2 linked regions of the Diceros bicornis minor genome follow. The protein of the gene in region 1 interacts with the protein of each later gene in a pairwise test. Links are inferred from orthologs where the notes say so. Each region holds a gene or a part of one and is shown in the gene's direction. Other genes may lie near its edges.

Region 1 (7,685 bases):
GGAACCTAGCAAGGGCCTTTTAATCAAAATCTTCTCCACCTCTCATTATCTCTACAAGGCATGGTCAAGATTCGTTTACCAAACATTTGCTTTTCCATCTCCACGTGAATTGCCTGCCTCCCCTTTGAAGTCCCAAAACACCACCCCCAACATCCTCCTTTGTCTTTAGCTGAAGATGGTATTTAAGGTGGTGGCTTCCACCATTTTGGCGAGTCACTCAGTCTTCCTGGGTTTCAACCATGTATACATGTTACTAAACTTTGATTTTACCCTGTTATTCTGTCTCATGTCAACTGAATTCTCAGACCAGCCAGGACCTAGAGGGCAAAAGAACAGTTCTTCCTCCCCTACACCCTCAACAAGCAGATGTAGTGAACGTCTCCACCATGGCTACCAGGCCATCTCCCCTCACTTCCTGACTTCCCCTGGGAGGCCCTCATCAGACAGCTGGCTCCTCCCACATCTCTTGTGGTAGCCCAGCCCCTTCTGTTTCGGTGTCATCCTTTTTTGGTGTGTGTGACAAGGGAGCTGGCACCTCTGCCTATCTTTTATCTCGCTGTCTATGTAAGTAATTAACCGTCTGAATCTAAAAGTGGCTACGCCACGGGGCCGGCCCCCTTAACTAGAAGTATTTTTGTTTTTTAAGATTTTATTTATTTTCCCCCCAAAGCCCCAGTAGATAGTTGTATATCATAGCTGCACATCCTTCTAGTTGCTGTATGTGGGACGCGGCCTCAGCATGGCCGGAGAAGCGGTGCGTCGGTGCGCGCCCGGGATCCAAACCCGGGCCGCCAGCAGCGGAGCACGCGCACTTAACCGCTAAGCCACGGGGCGGCCCTAGAAGTATTATCTGTTGTGTCTCCTATCATCATTATTGTCTTTGGCCTAAGATTGCCCTCTCCCCAACTTCTCCCCTCACAGACAAGACTCACAGGCCAGAGAAAATTCTTCATTTTATTTCCGCTCACAACCCCCCAAAGGATCAGTCCCCGCCCTCGCTCACCTAGAGGCAGCCCCTCTCCCAACACCTGCACAAAACACTGATTTCCTCCCAGAGCTAAAATGAACACCCGGTGCCCACTATGGCCATCCCCCGCCCTGCCCGCCTCCCCATCTGCCTGCACATCCACCTGCTCTGTGAACTTGGCTACCTTTTGGCTCCCTGCCCCAATGGAGCTCCCGAAGGTCACCTGGCTTGGCATTTTGATTACATGGGTGCCATTCTTCAAACCCTCCCTGACTTGCGTCCCCAGATGGCTCTCCTGGCCTCATTCTGCATAGCTTCCTGGCCACACGTCCCTGTTTGAGAGACCAGGTTCCCAAGCTCTGCCCTGCTCCCCGAATTCCCTGTGGGCCTCAGCCCCTCGGCTGTTACTTGAGGAGTACAGATGTTGACTAATGCCAAACATCCATGATTCTGGGGAGGGAGGAGGGGAGCAAACTCAGAAATGGATGAGCAGAGAGGAGAATAAAAGCAGAGAGAGAGGGAGAGAGAGAGAGATCTGGAATGAAGGTGGAGGCAGGGGGATGCCGAGGGACTCTCCCACCTCAGCTCCAGAAACAGAAGTGACCCAAGCTAAAGACCAGCGCCCCCTACTGCCCAAAGCCCCTGCCCGGCTAGCTGCTGCGGGTCCTCTGGCTTCGAGCCTTGTACACTTCGATGAGCAGATCCTTGACGTACTGGATCTCCCGCTCCACTGACTCCGCCCTCTCCCTCAGCTCCCGGTTCCGAGCCTCCAGCCCCTGGCACTCGCCCTCCAGGGCCTCGCCCTCTGCCCGCTTCCTCTGGCGGTACCTCAGAGCTGCCGACTTGTTCTGGTCTCTCTTCTTTTGCTTGCGGTCCCCTCGGGTGGTGGCAGGATTGGGGTAGGGGGCCGGGCGAGAGGGCTGAGGTGGAGGAGGAGGGGGCTGCTGTGGGGGAGGCAAGTGGGCCAAACCCGAGTCCCCATGCCCGGCCTCACTGCGGCAGCAGATGGCCAGCAAGTCAAGCGTATCCAGGGCAGGGGGCTGGGGGAAGTCAAAGGTGGGGAGGGGGAGGGGGAGGGAGGGCGCTGGTGCTGGTGGTGGTGGTGGGGAGGATGGCGGGAGGAGTGGGGCATCAAGGAAGAAGTCTTCCATCTGCTCCAGCTCCTTCTTGAGGAGGGAGGCCATGGCTTCCAGGTCAGGTGGGGGTGGGGAAGGTGGGGGGAGGGCACCTGGGGGCAAGGGGGGCTCCAGAGGGAGAAGGGCTGTAAAGTCAACCCGCTCAGTCATCCAGTCAGAGAAGCCGTCACCTGGAGGAGTGCAGGGGGACATAAAGGTCCTTGAGTTCCTGGTCCTCCACCCAACCGGGTGCTCACTCATGTCAGCCTCATTCATTCCATTCACTGAGTAAACCCACCAACTAGCCAATCAGTCAACCAACCAATCAATGAATCATCAAACCAGCCAACCAACCAACCAATAAACCAGTCAAACATCTAACTAACCAATTAACCGAGTCAACCAATCAACCAACCAACCAACCAACTAAATGAATCAGTCAACCAACCAATCAACCTTTTAACCAATCAATCAGTGAACCAGTCAACCACCCAATGACCCAAACAACAAAACAATTAGCCATTACTTCAACCATTCCAACATCCTCTTTACTGATTACTCTACACCTGTGGTTTGTCTGATTTACTCTCTAGTTTATTCTTAAAAGGCAAACTAGATTGCACATACACAACACACCCCGTTTCCTCTTTAACTCATTAAGTATTGAAAACCCACTATGTACCAAGCATGTCGGACACATTAATGAATAAAATAATTCCTTCCTCAGGGCCTCTGCATATGCTGTTCCCTCCTCCTGAAAAGCTATTCCCTTGGATCTTTTCATGGCTCATTCCCTCCCATGCTTTAGGCCTCAGCCAAAACGCTACCTACTTGGAGAGGGTTTCCTGGCTACACACTATAAACTAGGTCCCCGTTGTCATTTTTCAGCTAAATGACTGTTTCCCACTTATGCCACATTATCATTGAATATGTCTCGTCTGTCTCCTCACTAGAGTGTGAACTCCAGGAGGACAGTGATCGTGTCAGTCTTGTTCCCATCTGTATCCCCAGCACCTGACATGTTATAGGTGCTCAATAAATATTGATGGATTGAATGAATAAATGAATGAAGGAATTCTTCCTCCTTCCCCCTGCCCCCCATACCCCAATTCACCCCACCTCCATTCTTTGCCTGCCCTTACCTGCCAGGGGCTCTCCCCCCCCTGGAAGCCCGCCCTCCAGGGCTCCCCCAAGGACCTCATAGGGGCCCAGGGGGGCAGGGGCCAGGGGGAGTTTCCCATAGTCTACGAGCCAGCCCAGCCCGCTAGCTGGGAGCAGGGCCCTGTCCAGCTCCAGCCCCAGGGTCGCCAGGAGTGACATGGCTGCAGCACAGGCGCTGGGCGCGGATGGCAACGAAGGAGGCTGCACCGGCAGCTGACAGGGGGCTCTGGAGGTTGCTCAGCTGGGCGAAGACAGGCACCAAGGCGGAAGTGGAGGACCTACATGTGGGAGGCAAAAGCGACTGGGGTCAGAAGCCAGCCTCACCCACTACGGAAGTCACAGGGAAACCAAGCCACACCCCCACCTCCCTGGGGTCCTCCCCCCTCCCCCACTCCTGCTTCCAACTGGGCTTGGGACGAGCCTAGCTCTCAGAATTCTAAATCTGCTCTTTCTTTCCCCAAATCTCTGAGGCCCACCCACTCCCAAGGGAATTCGCTTTAGGATCGACTTACTTTTCTTTAGAATCCCCAAGCCCGGATCCTTCCAATACAGAAACCTACAGGTCTCCCCGGGGAATTTCCTTAACTCCTCCCACCCACCTCATAATATTCCCCTTCGTAAAAAAACTCAATCCCAGGGGAATTTTCTTCCAGCCGCACCACCCCCTCTAAAATATTTCCTTTAGGCCCCATCGCCTCCCTCGAGTCCATCTCAAATCAGCTCCCAGGGGAATTTCCCCCTGCCCCGCCCCTTCATCCATGTGATCCACTCAAATCCCACTCTGCCCTTTTAACTTTGCGGTGACCTCCCCCGACCCTCTAAGTCCCGCCCCTCACTGTTTATCTTAGCCCCACCCCTCCCCGATGATTCCCCCGAGGCCCCACCTCTTTCTCGGATCGAAACCCCGCCCCTCAGCAAACGGTTCGCTGAGCCCCGCCCCTCTCACAATGGGTTCCCTCAAGCCCCACTCCTCCCGATGGCTGTGATCCTAGCTCCACCCCCTTTTTAACAGGTTGCCTCTAAGTCCCGCCTTCTACCCTGTCAATCTACACCAGCCCTCGCCCCAACAGGTGCCCGATGAAAGAGAAGCTATGCAGTGCGCCTGAGCAATGTGAAGCCGGGACGCAGGTCGTGGGAGCCGGGAGGCCGGGGAGGAACAGCTCTCCTCGCCACCACCCTTCCACTCCCGGCTCTCTAACCCAGGGCCAAAGCACATGCTTCGTCCTCCTGGGGGTCACTGCGCATGTGCGGCTGCTTACTGCCCGCCCTTCGGACGCAAATACGGACTCTGGTGGGCTGCTGCGCATGAGCAACCGCGAGAGGGCGGAATCGTCCTGGGGGGTAGTGCGCAGGCGCAACCTCACGCGGGCCGTCTTTAAACTCCAACACTCGCTGGAAGAACGCACCCTCCCCCCCTCGAGCCGAGTGCGCATGCTCCGCCTCGCGTCGACGGCCCGTTTTCCCTCTTCTGCGCCTGCGCGACCGTGATTCCTCGCTCTCGTCTCGCCATCCCCCAGGTCGCGTTGTGAGGGCCGCGAGCTTCCAAAGGGCGGGAAAGGCGGTTGGAGAGGGAGGGGCGAGCGTTACTCACTCCATGGCTGCAGAAAGGAGAGGCGACGGCGGCCTCGGCTGAAGAAAGAAGGCGGGAGCGGAGAGCGCAAGCGCGGTGAGCGCGGAGATGGGCCGTGAGGCACGGAGGGGTGGCGGCTACAGAGCCATGGCCGGGGCTACGCGGGCGGAGGCGGCGTCGGGGTAGCGTGAGGAGAGATCGTGATCTGAGGACGGGGACTGAGGCGGCGCCGGGGACTGGGAACAGATATACCGGGGGCGGCGCAGCACGGCCCGCTCGGATCCCTCCGCGCCCCGCCCCCGCGCGGCCCCAACCGGGGGGCGGGCCTGGCCTCCCCTCGGGATCCCGGGATCCGGCCCTCTCTTCCTTCCGACCCCGGGATCCGGCCCTTCTGCTTCCTCTGATCCGGGGATCCAGCCCCCTCTTCCTCCCGACCCCGGGAGTTCCGGCCTTCCCTTCCCCCCGACGTGGGGGTCCAGCCCCCTCCTCCCTGCGATTCCGGGAATTCGGCCCCTCCTCTTCCCCGAGACCCGCGTCGGTTCATTTCTTGTTTCCCTGCCCCGGTTCACGAATTTCCGGCCAGCCGCATGCTCGTCTCCTTATCCCCCAACTGCCGTCCCCCAACCCTTTTTGTGGTTCGAGGCTGGCGTGAGTCATAGACCGGCCAGGGTGGCCTTGGGCATATAACTTAAGTTCTCTGGCCTCATAGATGGGGAACCGTTCGCAAAATGAGGTGGGGTTGTTTGTGCGAATGAAATAAGCGGAGAGCCGTGGGACCCAGGGCCCGGCTCCCTGCAGGCCTGTTCGGTGTGTTTTATTATTAATACGAATTCTGGGGCTCGGTCTGACGCCTTGCTCTCCTCCTGCCAAGAGCCCCAGACTCCTGACCATCCGACACCTGCTAATAGGTCATTCTTTAGCAGTGTCGCCTTTACTCCTCAGTGTCCAGCCGTCCCCACCCTCCTCCACGCCAGATGATGGGCGGTCAGCCCCCTCTCGGTGCAGGGAATTCAGGCATCGTCGCCCTCGCTGTTTTCTCCATCCCGTGCCCACCTCCCCTCAGCGCTTATCCTCAGCACTTCTTTCGAGACACTTGGTTCATTCTTCTGCCCCTGCCCCTCACCCTGACTTCCTTTCAAAGAGTCCCCCGCCTCTGCTGCGCCCCACTGGATCCGTGTTCCAGCCCTGCCAAAAATGGGGAGACCTACACTTGCATTTGCTAAAAGAGGAGAGCTTCCTCGCCATCCCCTCCCTGTGGCTGGGCCCTCCACCAGCCCAAGTGGATGCGGGTCTTTCCTCTGCTGCAGAAACCCCTCCCTTTCCCACCCTGCCTCTGTCCACATCAGGATGTGACACCTGGAGTTCAGCCTTCATCACTTTTGTGTTGGTTATGAAACTGAATCAAGATCCAGAGAAGGTGGGGGAACCCCGATCTTGAGAGTTATCTGGGAATGAACATACGCAGGCTTTTGTTGCATGCAGCAAGTCCTTCTTGGGATCTGACCACTTTCCCTTAGACACTTATTGTCCACTCTGCTGGTATTTGAGCACTGGCGCTATAGGGGCTGCGTTATACCTAGTCGGTATAGAGGAGCAGTTAAGAGCACACTCTGGAACCAGGTTATTGCGTTCCATCCCTGACTGCACCGCACTTAGTAGCTCACTGGCAATGTCCTTTATTTCCCTGTGCCTCAGTTTCCATTAATAATACCAGAATGGAGTGTGGAGTTTGGTTAATAGAAACGTACCAATGTACGTGGCCATTATTATATTGTACCTATTTCTTAGTACTGTTAACGAGGATTAAATAAGTTAACCGAGGTCAAGCGTTTAGACTAGTGCCTGGCACACAGTAGGTGCTACCTAAGGGGGTATTATTATTATTATTATTAGTGAGGTGTGTGTTTTATCTCCTTTGCTAAGCAGTAAGTTCTTTAAAAAGTCTTCCACCTTTTAAGTGAGACTTAGGGGCCGACTTTCTGCTTCTCAGTATAGATGTTGAGTAACAGCAGGTGAGAGTAGGGTAGGCTCTTGGACAGACTGCTGGCAGTGAGGAGGCCCAGTCATCACCCAGAGTCTTCTCCTTCTGGAAAGACCTAGGTTATACACGTGGACTAGGTAAAGTATTTTTCTTTAAATCAACTTTTTATTTTGGAGTAATTTTAGATTTACAGAAAAGTTGCAAAGATAGTGGAGTTGCCATATACCCCTCACGCAGTTCCCCCGTTGTTGACACCTTAGATTACTTGGTTCATTTGTCACAACTAAGGAACAAACATCATACATTTCTATTAACTAAACTCCACACTCTGTTCTGGTTTCACTAGTTGCGCCCTAATGCCCTCTTTTTATTCCGGCGTCTGTCCACGATGCCATATTACATTTAGTCATCTGTCTTCTTAGCGTTCTCTGGGCTGCGGCAGGTTCTCAGATTTCCCTTGTCTTTCATGACCTTGACGGCTTTGAAGAGTGGTGGTTGGGTATTCTGTGGAATGTCCCCCAATTTGGTTTTGTCTCATAGACTGGGGTTATGGGTTTTTGAGAGGATGGCTAGGTAGGATATTTTTTAATAACTGGAAATGAGTGTTCGGTGTATGCTGACTGAGAAGACACTAGGGCAGGGACCCTGGTCCCCTGTCCCAGTCCCTTGTGCCTTTTTCTCTCTATAGGTGTTGGATCCCACCTAGTTCAGCCCTGGTGCCAACTGCCCCACTCAAGCACTTGACTCAGTCCTGCTGAGAGGGTGCCAGTTCGCACACTTAGCTCCCTAGCTCTTCCCAGCATGTTCTAATTTATGGGCGGTAGGTCATCAGTGGCTGTCTGTGAGACCAGGTCTCAGCACCCTGAGCCCTGTCCTGTGCCCACCCCTGAC
Region 2 (6,905 bases), on another chromosome or scaffold:
AGGTATTTTCACTCCCATTTATATATAAGGATCTAGGACTTGGAGGTGTCAAGTGGTTTGCCTAAGGCCCCCTAGTTCATTCCAAAATTGAAGAAAATCAACACTTTGTCCAGATAGGAATGTAGATGGAAACCTCTACGCAGTTCACCTTCGGCTTCAGTCATGCTATCCCTGAAAATAATCTTTAAAACCTAGTTCTGGCTGCACTGTTGATTCAAACTAGTTTTGCATAATTGATTAGATAGAATTTGTACAGTCTGAATCAGATGCTTTGAAGCATCAAAGTGCCCCACAATATGGTTTTCTATTTCCTAGGCAAAAGCCTAGGTCACTCATATTTTCTAATGTTATTCTAAATCTTTTAAATCTTATCCTCCAGGCTGCAAATGAGCCATGGAACGATTCCAACTTTTTTTATTTGGAGCCAACAAAAGGCAATTCACTTTAAGAAACTGACGTTTTTATCCTCTAATATTGTGAACATTTCAAAATTGTTGACACTGGCTCAAATCTGTTTCTTCTGATATTTATGGGATATTGTAGGTGGCAAATAATTGTGAATTAGCTTGATTTGGTTTTCTTCCCTTCTCAGTTTTATAAATAAGTGCAAATGAGCCAATAATGATTTTCTCTTCCCCAAAAACATCTCTAATTGGTACTTAAAGTTTTCAAAAAGTTTATTAATTACAATAAATATTAAGGATTAAGTTCACAGAAAAAGAAAACACAGTAGTTTAAATTATTCCTGGAACATCTGGATTGTGTTAAGAGGTGAAGGGTGAGTAATTACAACTCTGTACATGTTATTGACTAATTTTTCCTCTATAACAATGGTTCTCAAAGTGTGGTCCCAGGGCCAGCAGCATCTGCACCACCTGGAAACTTGTTTGAAAAACAAATTTTTAACCTGAACCCCAGATCTACTGAGTGGAGTTGGGGGAGAAGCAGCAATCTGTTTTTTCAGAAGCCCTCCAGGTGATTCGGATGTAGGCTAAAGTTTGAGGCCCATTGGTATAACAGAAAAAAGCATGTGTTTCAGACTATGAAAGACATGGTTTCAATTCCAACCCCAGCCATGTGATTTTAGACACACCATGTATTTCCTGGTGCCATCACCAGATTATTTGGTTAATAACTTAGCCCCTTTGCTGGCCTCATGAGTATTATAAATACTACCTGGTAAGTGATACTTGTTCATTTGTTATATTGGCAGTATCTCCCTTCCAAGTGATTTGGATGCATGCTTAGGTTTGAAAACCACTGGTCTATAAGGTGCAATATATTGGAAGCTGACCAGCTACATAATTTGAAGGGCCCGATGCAAAATGAAATGCTGGGTCCCTTGTTCAAAAATTAAGAATTTCAAGATGGTGACAACAGAGCATTAAACCAAGTATGGGGCACAACTGAGCACAGGCCTACCACTGGACAGGTTGAAGGCCCAAAGAGGAGTTTCTGCCTGTATCAAATCACATCTTTTTTTTCAGATGAAAATGATACAATGCCATGAAAGTAGGCCACATTTCCCCCTCTTACTTCCTGAGCTGTCCATCTCCAGAGACAGACCGTGCTCATTAGCCTCCCCATCTTTGCTCATTGTTGTCTTCCTTTTAGCTATCCAAATGCATTTGTACTTCAAGACCCAACTTAAGGTCCCCATCCTCCATAAAGTCTTCCCTTACTACCTTAACTCACTTAACTGTCCTTTTAAACTTTTCTAGTACTTGCTTTATGCCATAAATTTAACTCTTTTTTTTTTTTTTAGTTTACTTTTTTTGGTTATTGTTTTCGTTTTTTGGAAGAGTGGCCTTGAGCTAGCATCTGTTGTCAATCTTCCTCTTTTTTTTTTCCCCTCCCCAAACCCCCAGTGCATAGTTGTATATCCTAGTTGTAGGTCCTTCTAGTTCTTCTACGTGGGACGCCGCCTAAGCACAGCTTGATGAGCGGTGAGTATGTCCGTGCCCAGGATCTGAACCAGGGAACCCCGGGCTGCAGAAGCAGAACACAGGAACTTAACCGTTAAGCCACCGGGCTGGCCCCTAGCTCTTACTTTTTTAATATCAATGATTGCTGATCATTGTGTTCATCTTGTTTCTTAAGTTAGAATATAAGCAGCTTAAGCATTGAGGTGGTGCCATCATCATACAATGGAAAGAGCACAGGCTTTTAAGCTCAATCAAGCCCGGGTGCAAATACCCTCTCTCATTTACTAGCTGTGATGTAGGTAAATTAATCCACTTTTCAGTCTCAGAATCTTCATTGGAAAAATGGGGTAATAAGATGTACTTCATAGGGGTGTTGTGAAGATTAAATGAGATAATATATGCAAAGCCCTTGGCATATATAAATGCTCATCAAATATTAGTTCCTCTACCAGATGTATCCCATCATACATCTGATTTTGTTTCAGAAGACCAGTGCTGAACACAAAGTCAGTATTCAATAAATATTTGCTCTTTGGAAATTGAATTTTATTTATTTTTTTGTGAGGAATATCAGCCCTGAGCTAACATCCGATGCCAATCATCCTCTTTTTGCCAAGGAAGATTGGCCCTGGGCTAACATCTGTGCCCATCTTCCTCTACTTTATATGGGATGCCTCCACAGCATGGCTTGACAAGCGCTGCTTCAATGAGCGCCCAGGGATCTGCCGGGGCTGAGGCAGCTGAGTGCACGCACTTAACCCCTACGCCACTGGGCAGCCTCTGTATTTTATTCTTTAAGGTATTATTTTACACGTGCCCAGGAAGTAAACCAATCCTATGTTGAATTTTGCATAAAGCGTTAATTATCTCTGACTTGTGAGTAAATTCTTATATTCACATGCTGACTTTTGCAAAAAAATTTTAATTTTGTACAATTGTTTATATTTTTAAAGCATTTTCACACCTCTTATGTTATTAATATTATCTTACATGGGGGAATAGAGAGATATTCTTATTCCCAATGAGGATACGGGGAAGGCTGGCACCAACAGATCAAGGGATTGTTCTAAGTTACACAGTACCAGTGTAATTTAATATCCACTAAAGCGTCCTCAAAGCTTGGTCTAAACTCAGATACGCTGACTCCTTGTTGAATTTTTTTTTTCCACTATACCAAACTATCTCTGGCACACAAGAATATACCTGCAAAGTACATGCAGGAACAATTATTTTAATTGATTAAAACAGCATAAGTGAGGCTATTTCTTTTTATACTGGACATATAGACGGCATTCAATGGTAGTTGAATTAAAAACAGCATGTACGGTGCCTATTACACTTTATGGTTCACAGTAGTATGTGCTTTTGTAAAGAGTGAGCTATTATTTAAATTTCTCTTTTTTGCTAAACGTATTTTAAAGGGACCATTTTCTCCTAATGAAAATTTAAGGACAAGGTTCATTATTCTTAAGGCAGTTTCAATTTGGGGCCTAGCACATCATGCTTGAAAGCTGCTTTTTTCCCCCCATGTGAATTATTATACTCCTTCCTCCTGACGGCGCAAGCCACACTTTCCTGCCAAACTTATGACTCAAAGGCCCCTGAGGACTTTCTGTAGCCTCTCCGCCACAGCCCGGGAACCCAAAGCTGCTTCCACGTGAAACAACCAAACACGGTCCCCTAAGCCCAAGGTCCGCTACAGTCAGGGCCTGGATAAAAGGCGAATCAGAAGGCAGCACACCCCTCTGCTCCCACCCCCTCCAGTCTGCACCATCCAATCCGTTTTCTCTGTCGCGCGGTCGGCGCCTGGGATTGGCCGGGATCGGGACAGGCGCGCGACCAGTGCGCACGGGCCGAGCGCGGCGACTTGTCCGTCACGTGCGGCCGCCCGGCCTCCCCGCCTGGCGGGGCTGGGGGGCGGGGCCCTGGAGCTGCTGCGCCTGCGTTGTGGGCGTTCTCGGGGAGCAGCTGCCGCCGCCGCCGCCGCCGCCGCCGCGTTCGGGCGTAGAATTTGGAGTCCCCGCGCCTCGTTAACAATGAAGCAGAGTTCGAACGTGCCGGCTTTCCTCAGCAAGCTGTGGACGCTGGTGGAGGAAACCCACACCAACGAGTTCATCACCTGGAGCCAGGTACGCGGGAGGGCGCGGCGGCCTCCGAACCCTCCTGAGTACCCGCCGCCTCCCTCCCGCTCTCCCGCGGGCTTGTCTCCCGCGGCCTGCGGCTCGACGCCGGCTGCGAGGCCCGCGGCGCGGCCCCGGCGGGGGCCCCGGGGTGGTGGGCGCGGGAGCCGGGGGGGCGGCCGGCGCGCTGGCTCAGGCCGCGGTGGGGGAGGGGCGGCCGCGCGGGGCCCGCGGCCGGGAGGCCCCGTAACGGTCCGGCCCGGGCGCCCTTCGGCACCGGCCCGGCGGCGCGAGGGCGGCCCGCTAGCCGGGGGCGCGGGCGCCGCGTTCCTGCACACTCATCCCCCGTCCTCCCGCCCAGCTCGCGGGCTCCGGGTCGCCGGGGGCACGGGCAGCCCCGGGCCGGCTCTCCAGCGCGGGGCGTTATCTGAGGAAATCTTGACCCCGGCGACCCGCGTCTGTCGCGGAGACGGCCACGCGCCGCCTTACACCTGGGGTCCTTGTGGGGAGGGCTTCGGGGGAGTGGGCACACGGTCACACACAGGTGACGGCTGATCGGTGGGTCTTAAGATATTACACAGACAATGGTACATTTCTCCTCGGAGGTTCTGAGCCGTTGCTGTAAACGGGTTTTTATGATGATTTTCATCCAGGTGCTGAGACTGGTGTCCACTAACTTAGTGAGGAACTGAAATGAATCACTAAACAGTTGCCAGCAGAGTGGTGTGTGGATGCCGTGATTGTTGTTTGATCCCAACTCTGCCACGAAACGGAGATGACCTTAGCCAAGCGCCTTGTGTGGCCTGAGTTTCATCGTCCATGAGATGACTGGGTTGCCCGGGTGATCCGAGACTCCTCCTAGTTCCAAATAGTAAAATTCTAAGCAGAATGATTATTCCATAAACGGCGTTTGCGTTGGAATACGCTCTTAAGCTGTTGGAATCATTTTGTGAAGGGGGCTGGATTTCTCTTATTGTAGATGATCGTGTGTTTGGGATATTTTCTTGTTTAGAGGTCTGGAGACGAGGTCATGAAAACTACCTGCACAGGGCCTGGCACCTGTTCAGTGCCGAGTAATTGTTATCTCCCCTTTTTCTCCCTTTCTTTTCTGTTCTTTTCCTATTATAGGAACTCTCAGTTTTATTATTACATTTAACAGGGAGCACTAGATTGAGTACATGAAGTTTTGACTACTATAACACCATATTCTGGTTTATGTTACTGTCATTCGTTGATTTTTTTGTTTCCCTTCTAGGACTTAATTTTCTTGAAGGTTAGTATCATCAGCTGGATGGTGTGTATTAAGCATTTGCTGAATTCTGTACAGTTGTACTAAGAAAGGTGAAAATAAGGAAGCCAGCCGCGAGTGTGCACTTAAAAATAAACAGATGTCTCATGCTTTTCATCAGTCAGAAGGATTAAAAGTTGACGAGGATGGATCAGCACACCCTGCTGTTACTCAGCCTTTTATTCGTGTTAGAGATTGGACTGAGAGTCTCCTCTCCAACCCAAGCTGACTTTATCATACCTTTTTGCGTGGGTAGGCCTTGTTTTTATTGCCTAGAAATGGTACCTAAATATATTGGTAATTGGTTTTAATTAAGGGGTATTATATCAGTGGCAGGTCTGAAAATTCTCATTAGCCAAGATATTTTAATAACATTCTTATTTTATGGGAAGTATCAAATGTGGGGAGTTTCAAACTAATACATAAATGCATCATTTTATGAATTCTAAGCCAAATACAGAAGCCGCTTAAAAATGATTCTTATTTATCCCATTATTAAGTCTAAGCTTATGTTTTAACTACTCATTTTCTGATCATAACGAGACAAATGAAATATAAAATCAGTGAGAGCAGGGACACTCTCTGTGCCAGGGACATCCAGTAGGGACTTAATAAATGTTTGATGAATCAATGAAATCCTTGGAATATGTAATGGAAGTGGTAGGAATGTTGAAGATAGAATTATGCCTGAAAAGAATCTTAGAGATCATTTATTTGAGCCTCATCATCGTGTAGATGAGGATTTGAGGCTTAGACAGGTTAGATTACTTACCCATAATTACAAAGCTAGCCTTTATTGGAGGTGGGACTATGACATAGATTTGTGACCTCCCAGATCAATCTTCTGTCCATAGCATTACCTTTAATACATATTGGCACAATATTTAGTTTTATGTCAAAACGTTAGCCCTCCGCAAGTCAGTGGACAATTCTAGATTAATGTTGTCTAGGGCTAAGCTTAGTTGCTTAGGGCTGTCTCGCTTATTTTACCAGATTTTTCCAAATCAGTGTTAACAATGAAAAGTAAAACTTCAATTAAACAATGATGTTAGATGGAAAAACCAAAATAAGTTACTCTCGTCTTTTAAAAGTTGCTATTTATGGTTGTTTCTGGTTTCCTTCAGCCTTGTTTTGCTGAACTTCTATTGAGGTAATTTAGCATTTATACTATCTGAGTGAATATTAAGACCTTTTAGAAGCAACAGATGTTTTGGAAACCAGGCAATCTTTTATGCATTTTTTTTTTTTACTTGTGGAAAATAATTTATTCTTCTAGCTTGAGTGTTAGGCAAGGAGAGAAAGCTCTTACCAACTGCAGTTGGAAAAGCTTGGCTTAATATTCCTGAAGTTCATATAACTTTAATTTTCCTTGAAACTTGTAATATGACAAAAATGAAAAATGAAATAATATCCCCATTCTAATCATTAATTATAGAAATATAATATTTTGAGCAATCAAATTATACTAAATGTGTTATTGATTCAAATAATAGAAATGTCTTTAGATCCAGTGTGTCTTTAAAACGTATTGTACATGTTTTTTCCCAGATTCTCCCCTTGGAGTTTTCTTTT

Evidence for each region.
Region 2: the proteins of NUP62 (region 1) and HSF2 interact in binary tests that used the Homo sapiens proteins (3 or more experiments, as listed by UniProt). The link is inferred for Diceros bicornis minor from reciprocal best matches to the Homo sapiens genes NUP62 and HSF2.

The regions. Positions count from the first base shown.
Region 1 is NC_080773.1:25,283,321-25,291,005, reverse strand, and holds the start of NUP62 (nuclear pore glycoprotein p62), read left to right. Parts: upstream 1-4,684; 5' UTR 4,685-4,909; exon of another isoform or gene 4,910-5,063; intron 5,064-7,685. Other genes in the region: ATF5 (cyclic AMP-dependent transcription factor ATF-5), read right to left, coding at 1,618-2,273, 3,225-3,402. UniProt on the Homo sapiens protein: Essential component of the nuclear pore complex. The N-terminal is probably involved in nucleocytoplasmic transport.
Region 2 is NC_080762.1:14,584,205-14,591,109, reverse strand, and holds the start of HSF2 (heat shock factor protein 2), read left to right. Parts: upstream 1-3,892; 5' UTR 3,893-3,961; coding exon 3,962-4,054; intron 4,055-6,905. UniProt on the Homo sapiens protein: DNA-binding protein that specifically binds heat shock promoter elements (HSE) and activates transcription. In higher eukaryotes, HSF is unable to bind to the HSE unless the cells are heat shocked.